Ovis aries: one gene and its partner. The protein of the gene in region 1 purifies or fractionates together with the protein of each later gene. This does not show direct contact. Links are inferred from orthologs where the notes say so. Each region holds a gene or a part of one and is shown on either strand. Other genes may lie near its edges.

Evidence for each region. The genes of interacting proteins can lie anywhere in the genome.
Region 2: the proteins of SPAST (region 1) and NUP98 purify together in Homo sapiens (affinity purification with mass spectrometry; 3 studies listed by BioGRID and IntAct, counting the BioPlex papers as one, with this or other methods). This does not show direct contact. The link is inferred for Ovis aries from reciprocal best matches to the Homo sapiens genes SPAST and NUP98.

What each region holds. Positions count from the first base shown.
Region 1 is NC_056056.1:91,794,448-91,798,747, forward strand, and holds the start of SPAST (spastin), read right to left. Parts: upstream 2,801-4,300; 5' UTR 2,497-2,800; coding exon 2,088-2,496; exon of another isoform or gene 1-2,087. UniProt on the Homo sapiens protein: ATP-dependent microtubule severing protein that specifically recognizes and cuts microtubules that are polyglutamylated.
Region 2 is NC_056068.1:50,094,621-50,098,120, forward strand, and holds part of NUP98 (nuclear pore complex protein Nup98-Nup96), read left to right. Parts: intron 1-2,289; coding exon 2,290-2,472; intron 2,473-3,190; coding exon 3,191-3,347; intron 3,348-3,500. UniProt on the Homo sapiens protein: Plays a role in the nuclear pore complex (NPC) assembly and/or maintenance. NUP98 and NUP96 are involved in the bidirectional transport across the NPC. May anchor NUP153 and TPR to the NPC.

The sequences.
Region 1 (4,300 bases):
TTCCTTTGGAATATAATGCAGCAGTTGTAGAACTCAAACTAGAGAGATATCATTGCCTATTCTGATGTCCACTTTAGAAACTAAAGTATAAATAAAGCAAAACCATTGAATAGAAACATTATCTGCTGAAAAAGAGTGAAATATGTGATACACAGATTGCTGAAAATATTTGTGCGTAAATATTTTAAGATGACTTTAATAAAATAGAGGCCTATATGTGATACCCAAAGATAAATCACCAGCATGAAATCCAAGGTCTGAATTCCACTTCCATCACTTACCCCTCACATGGAACTGATTTCTCTTTAATTTTAAGAATCTAGGACCTTTTTTTTAAGCCTAAGTTTTTGTTGATGTCTCTTGCTACCACCCAACTCCCATCACCCAGTGTTAACAAAATTTCCTTGTGTGTACTGGCATTCCCTTTTCAAATACAACAAATGATCTACCCTCAAATATATTCCTCTTTTCAACTTTTGACCTAGATTAGTAAACTTCAGAGGACTCTATTATAATAAAATAGTACAATAAAACAGTCCTTCTCTAGAAAGGGATAATAGTATATGCTTCTTCATCCTCCTCAGGTGATCTTGGATCTTCCTTAAAGGTGGTAAATAAAGTAATTAATAAAAAATTTCCCTCCAAAACCACACAGTATTCTTTTCTTAAATGTGCCTCCTCTCTTCAACTTTTTGAAGCCTCCTCTCTGTCCTTTTACTCCAAGCCCATGAATACCTGCCTCCTTCCTTATATCCTACTCCCCGTCCAAGGCCCCACAAAGGAAACAGATTTCAACCAAACTGAAAACCTAGAACAGTTTGTGGAGTTAGTAGTGGAGACACTACTAGTGAACTGCAGATTGCTTTTTTTTATACTAATGAACAATGCAAATCAGTAGTTAGAGGGAAAAGATCTCTGCAAACTGGAGTTAGAGATCACAGGAGGGATTTTCAAAATGTTATAATTTCATTTATCATCTTCCATAAAAATTTCTCATCGAGTGAGTGAAAGTCGCTCAGTCATGTCCGACTCTCTGCGACCCTGTAGACTATACAGTCCATGGAATTCTCCAGGCCAGAATACTGGAGTGGGTAGCCTTTCCCTCCTCCAGGGGATCTTCCCAACCCAGGGATCGAACCCACGTCTCCCACATTGCAGGCGGATTCTTTACCAGCTGAGCTATCAAGGAAGCCCAACAGTATCTTCACCTCAGGGGGTAATTGTGATGATTAAACAGATTACACATGCAAAGCCAAGAAAATAGTGTCTGGCATATAAAAAGACTAAAAAAAAAAAAAAAAAAGTTAGTTTAAAAGAAATCTGAAGAACGTGGTACCCTTGCTTTCATCCAGAAACAGAAATCTTTACATTTTACTGTAAAACAGTATGTATAAACTAACCCTATTCACTCAATATTTCAATTTAGAAACTTTGAATGGAATACTTGGAATATCCATTTAGATGAGATCAAATCAACCATGGGCAAAAGTTTTATACTAAGACAGAATTTTATCGAAAATACTTAGAAGTCATTATACTGATAAAAATAACTGTCATGAAACTTAAAAAATAGTGCAAATTCAGCTGTAATCTATATGCAGCTGTTCCTTTCAAAATTAAGTCACCATTTGTTCTCTTTTTCTGACACTACAGTACTCTGCTTTCACTAAAACCCTGTAACAAGGAACAGCTTCTTCGATATCAAAACCTTTTGGAAACCTGGCTCAGAGCAAGCCACTCACTGTTCACAGCGCTCGAAAGGATGTGTGTGGTCACTCTAGGACAACTGTCACTGTCAGCAAGCACGCCTAGGAGTCTCACAGGGACTCGGGTCATACAGAAATGTAGGTGTCGGCTAGTATCCGAAACAAAGTCAGCGGCTAGCGCTCCTGAAAGGGGAGAGCTTTTTCAGCTGAGACTCATAAAGGATGAGGGTCTAACCCCGAGGAAGCGGTCTCGCAGGGCAGATCAGTTTCGGGGGTGCCCGCTGGCTCCGTCAGCAAAGGGACGCAGGTGTTGCCCTCCCTCGGCGACCGCACCGCTTTCTTCCCGGCGCCGCCGCCCCCTCCCCCCAGCTCCCCATTTACCTTTCTCGTCCTCATCGATGCGCAGGGCGACGGAGATGTACTCGAAGGCCTGTTTGTGGAACGCTCGGACGCGCTCGGCCTCCCCGCCTGGCACCGGTGCCGGGGGCGACGCCGAGGCCGGCGCGGCCCCGGAGCTCCTCTTGGCGGCCATGAGGGCGCGGGAGAAGCGCTGGCAGAGCCACACGAAGAGGAGCCCCAGGTGGAAGGCGACCAGGCGCAGCAGCGCGAAGCCTACGAACAGCGGGTAGGAGAAGTAGTACAGGTTCCGCTTATGCGGCGATTGGGGCGGAGGGGCCGGCTTGGGGGCGGGACGGGAGCGGGCCAGGCAGGGGGGCGGAGGCCTGGGAGGCACCGGGCTGCTGGGGCCGCCGGAGCCTTTCTTCTTCCCTCGTCCACCCGGAGAATTCATTCACAGCTCCCACTGCCGCCGCCGCCATAACCCGCCTCCCGCAGACCGACGGCGGCCAAGCGACGGCGGCGGCCACTGGGACGGCAAGGGCCACAGACCTCCGCGCGCCCCCGGTCCCTGGAGCTGTGCACCTCCGCGCGCTGCTCGCCGGCCCCGCCCCTTTCTCCTCGCCCGTGCAGGAGCACAACCCCTTCTCCTCCTGCGGTCGGGGGCTCCTGCCCCTCCCTCTCTCTGTCCTCTTGGCCGCTCGGTAGCTCAGAGCGGCGGCCTGGAGCGCAAGCGCAGCCCTCCCGACTCTTTCTCCGGCGCGTGCGCGCACGTCGCCGTCTTTGTTGCCCTGAGCTCCTTGTGCGCGTGTGCGCGGCTCGCCATTCCGTCCCTTCGCTCGCGGAACTACGTTTTCCAGTATGCAGTTCGGCCTACTTGGCCCTTAGGGACCCGTAGCTCAATCGATTTCGCTGACCCTAGTAGCCCGTTATCAGGGCACCTAGACCGTCAATTCAAGAAAGGGACCGCTGCAGCTTGGGGTCCCTCGGCTAGTTTGCAGGACTTGCGGTGTCATCGTTTTCTTATATTTCTTCCAGCATTTTCTGCCAGTCTTCCACAAGGAATGGTTGATCTCAGTTTCACCGCAAAAGTAATGGGTCCAATCTAATAAATATTATCTAAGAAGATAGAGGTTGTAGGACGCTCAAAAACGTCAGGTCACTGAAAACGAAAATGTTAGTTCATTGGGATGAACTAATCGATTCGAGAGGTTTAATTAAATCGGTACTTATTTATGACCAACATAGCATATTGGGCTTCGCTGGTGGCTCAGACGGTAAAAAACGTCTGCCTACAATGCGGGAGACCCGAGTTCGATCCCTGGGTCGGGAAGGTCCCCTGGAGACGAAAATGGCAACCCATTCCAGTACTCTTGCCTGGAAAATCCTATGGACGGAGGAGCCTAGTAGGCTACAGTCCATGGGGTCGCAAAGAGTCGGACACAACTGAGCGATTTCACTTTCACTTTCAGACAGCATGTTAAAAACAGAGACATTACTTTGCCAACAAAGGTCCCTCTAGTCAGAGCTATGGTTTTCCAGTAATCATGTATGGATATGAGAGTTGGACTTATAAAGAAGGCTGAACGCCGAAGAATTGATGCTTTTGAGCTGTGGTATTGAAGACTCTTGAGAGTCTTTTGGACAGTAAGGAGAGCCAACCAGTTCATCCTAAAGGAAATCAGTCCTGAATGTTAATTGGAATGACTGATGCTGAAGCTGAAACTCCAATACTTTGGCCACCTGATGCAAAAACTAACTCATTTGAAAAGACCCTGGTGCTGGGAAAGATGGAAGGCGGGAGGAGAAGGGAACGACAGAGGATGAGATGGTTGGATGGCATCACAGACTCAATGGACATGATTCTGAGTGAGCTCCAGGAGTTGGTGATGGACAGGGAGGCCCGGCTGCAGTCCATGGGGTGTCAAAAAATCAGACACGACTGAGCGACTGAACTGAATTTAACTAGATGTCTAATCTGAAGAATTAATTTCAATAAGGGAATTTTTAGGTTTTGCATGGTAGTCATTCCATACTTCCTCAGGAATCCAGACTGGACTTTTTTTTTTTTTTTCTGTTTTTCAAAATCTGCTCGACGTCCTTTCCTTTGGAGAACTACCTCTGCCGCCAGTATTATCCTGAGCTGCAAGCACAGAACCTCGCCTCCCAGGTCGCAGAGGGAAAACACTAGGGAAGCCCCAGGTTACCCATACTGTCCTAGAAACTGGAATCTTGCATGAAGACACACTGAGATAGGA
Region 2 (3,500 bases), on another chromosome or scaffold:
GTCCTCATAGTTTAATAGTAATTCACTTCCCCATCCACTTATTAGATGATACTAATTTTGAAGTCAGTACATGAGGAGGAAGCAAATAAAACCTTGATTGCATAGCATTCTTAAAGATAGTCTTGAGTCCCTCAGTCTCCAGACTTTGATTAAATCCTACCAGTTTGCTTCTAAAAGTGTTCTAAATGAGCACCTCTTTTTGTTAGTCCTTTGTTGAATAGTACAGTAAATTGAAACTCTCCTCCTCCTCCCTTTCCTCTCATCTATACTTGCTCCTTATCCTTTCATAGTTACTAGCCTTTTCTCCTGTGTGGCAGGCACTGCATTAAATAACTAAATGTTGTGAATTTAACAATGTGGTTAGTATTAGATACAGAAAATAGTAGACTATGTCTGCGGAGAAGGCAATGGCACCCCACTCCAGTACTCTTGCTTGGAACATCCCATGGACGGAGGAGCCTAGAAGGCTGCAGTCCATGGAGTCGCTGAGGGTCAGACACGACTGAGTGACTTCACTTTCACTTTTATGCATTGGAGAAGGAAATGGCAACCCAGTCAGTGTTCTTGCCTGGAGAATCCCAGGGACGGGGGAGCCTGGTGGGCTGCCATCTATGGAGTCACACAGAGTCACACACAACTGAAGTGACTTAGCAGCAGCAGGCTATATCTGCTTTCAAGCATTTACAATCTGGTGGGACAAAAATAATATATACCTGAAATTATAATATACATTGTATAAGATAGGTATAGACAAGGTATTATGGGAGCCCAACAGAAAAGAGTATCCTGATGTTTTGACAGAGGATGGGGAGTGTTATAACTTTTCTTAAAAGTGAATTGGTTAAAAATGAACATACTGGGGGGGCATTGGAATGTTCTTCTAATTCCTCTAATTATAATGGTAGGATCACCACCAGGGCTTTTAAATTTTTTTTTTTTTTGGAATTTTAAAGCATCAAAGTAGCTTGCCTGTAGCCTCCCCAATAGGTTTAAATATATATATATATATATATAAAACTTTTGTCTTTTAACCATTTAGCCTTCAGTTTTGTTAGAGCAGTCTTTAGGGAATGTTCACAACATAAGTAACAATTCACTACATATCCAACACCTCAACATTTCTACAGCTATAGATGGCAGTAGTCATTCTCTTAGTAAGGATATTTGTTAAAGGAATTCACGGGAGTAAGAGGTAATATACTATTGAAAATAAAGTTTAAAAAGTTACACTAATGGTCATTTCTTGGTTCAAAGAAATCATGAAACTTTTTTTAACCACCTATTGTATAATTGGATCCATTTGAAGTCTACTGTGAAACAGGCCATTCATGAAAGACAAACCAGAAATTGTGGAAGGTTAGTAATCTACAGATGATATATTATGAAAGAAAAAAAGGTAGAACAACTTTTAGCTTTGAGAATGTGTCATAAATTAGCATAGCCATTTGTTAACATTTTATCAGATCATGTGGGAGTTTAGGACATATTTAATGTGAATTTGCACTGAGCCAATTTTACAGTATGTTTCAGCTCTCTGAATGTTTACCTTTTCAAACTGTTAATAGACTATTAATCATTACTGTATCTTTAAAACTCCCTAATAATTGTAAATCTAACTCTTGATACATTTAAACATATTTAAACCTGAAAGAATTATTCCCAGATTAAAATTGCTCCTAGTAGTACTTTGTTTTTTTTTCTTCTGGGAAACACGTTCTACATCTGATACAATATCCATGTGATACTGCATAGGTGGAGCTAACCTTAGGATTCAGTCTCCCAAAAAATAAATTCCAGGCCCCAAATTGTGTTTGTGATAACTAGAAATTTATTTCTAAATGCTTTTAAGAAAATGCAAAGGTACTAGAAACTTTGGTATTTGTGTCTTTTATTCTCTCTCCCCATGGCTTCTGGCTGCAAGGCACTGTGAGGTCATGGTAACTCTGTATAAATCAGAAAATTATGGTTGCTAACTAAATCAAGTAAGGCATAATCATAGTCTGAAGTTGACTGTTTTTTCAGTATGGGTGCTGGCTTAGGTCCAGGCTCCAGACCATAATATTATAAAAGGGTAATTCCATGAATCTTCATTTGGATCCCAAGTAATAATAGAGGAATTTTGGGGAAATTGTTCTTCAATACTCTAGCAAATATATTACTTCACATGATGATAGAATGGGCAGAATCTAATGTTATATCATATTTTGAATAAAGTAAATATGGTCTAGAAGCTCTATGTCTATCTGGTGTCATTTAATGCTGCTTCCCTGATCTTTCTGCTGTCTACAGAGCCAGAGCCCAGAGGTGGAGCAGTTAGGGAGGGTTGTGGAACTGGACAGTGACATGGTAGATATCACCCAGGAGCCAGTTTTGGATTCCATGTTAGAAGAGAGCGTGCCTGAGGATCAGGAACCCGTGTCCGCCTCAACACACATTGCATCTTCACTGGGAATTAATCCACATGTGTTACAGGTGAAGTCCTAACCCACCCTTATTATAAGAATCCAAACTAGTATTCATCTTCCTCTCTTAATACCAGGCCTTTTCTTTCATTAGTCCTTTAAGGGCATTGAACAGTCACTGGAATGAGAAAAAAACAGGAATATGGCCCATGTCAGGCATCATTTTGCCATTGGTGGAAGGAAGGCTATATTGAGATTCAGAAGACCTAGAGTCTAGGCCCAGTTTTGTAACTATTACAGTGTGACTTTGGGCAAGTCGTTTAACATCTGTGAGCACTGATTTTTCTCTATAAAATACTAACTTCATTTACAAAGAGGTTTTGAGGCTCTGGAAAGTGCTCCACAGAAGTGTTTTGTTTTGTTTTGTTTTTTAATTATAGTTACAGGTTTCTTTAAACTGTCTCAATTTCTCCTTGCTTATGCCTTTTGTCATTATATGAATTTAGCCTTTGGCTTATATTTGACTTTAAAATTAATTCATTCAGCAAATATGTAAGCTGCTGCTGTGTGCCAGCCTCTGGTGATACTATATACAAAGCACAGAAGTTTTATGTAACTTCTGTCCTTCAGGCACATACAGTATAACAGAGTTAGACACACAAATGTTGTACTAGCTCTGGACATGACCTGAGGCAGAGCTTTTTAATTGGTTGTTGTAAGCTGTGTTTTTCTTTTATGGCCTTTGGATTTGGGGGAGCACATTCATTCTATAGATATTGCTTTTTTAGATCATGAAAGCATCATTGCTTGCTGATGAAGAAGATGTAGATACAGTCTTGGATCAGCGCATCACTCACCTTCCTTCTAAAGCAGATACTTCTCAAGAAATATGTTCTCCCAGGCTCCCCATCTCAGCAACTCACTCATCAAAACCTCGTTCATTAGGTACTGTAAAAGATGCTCTTTTACAAGAAAGCTGTAAAGTCTGGCTTTTCACATTTCTTCTAAGCTGAGTCAACTTCTGTAGCAGACAACTCCAAACTATGATCAGTGGTGCAGACACAAAGTTGTATGGGAAAAAAAAAGCATTTGTGTTTT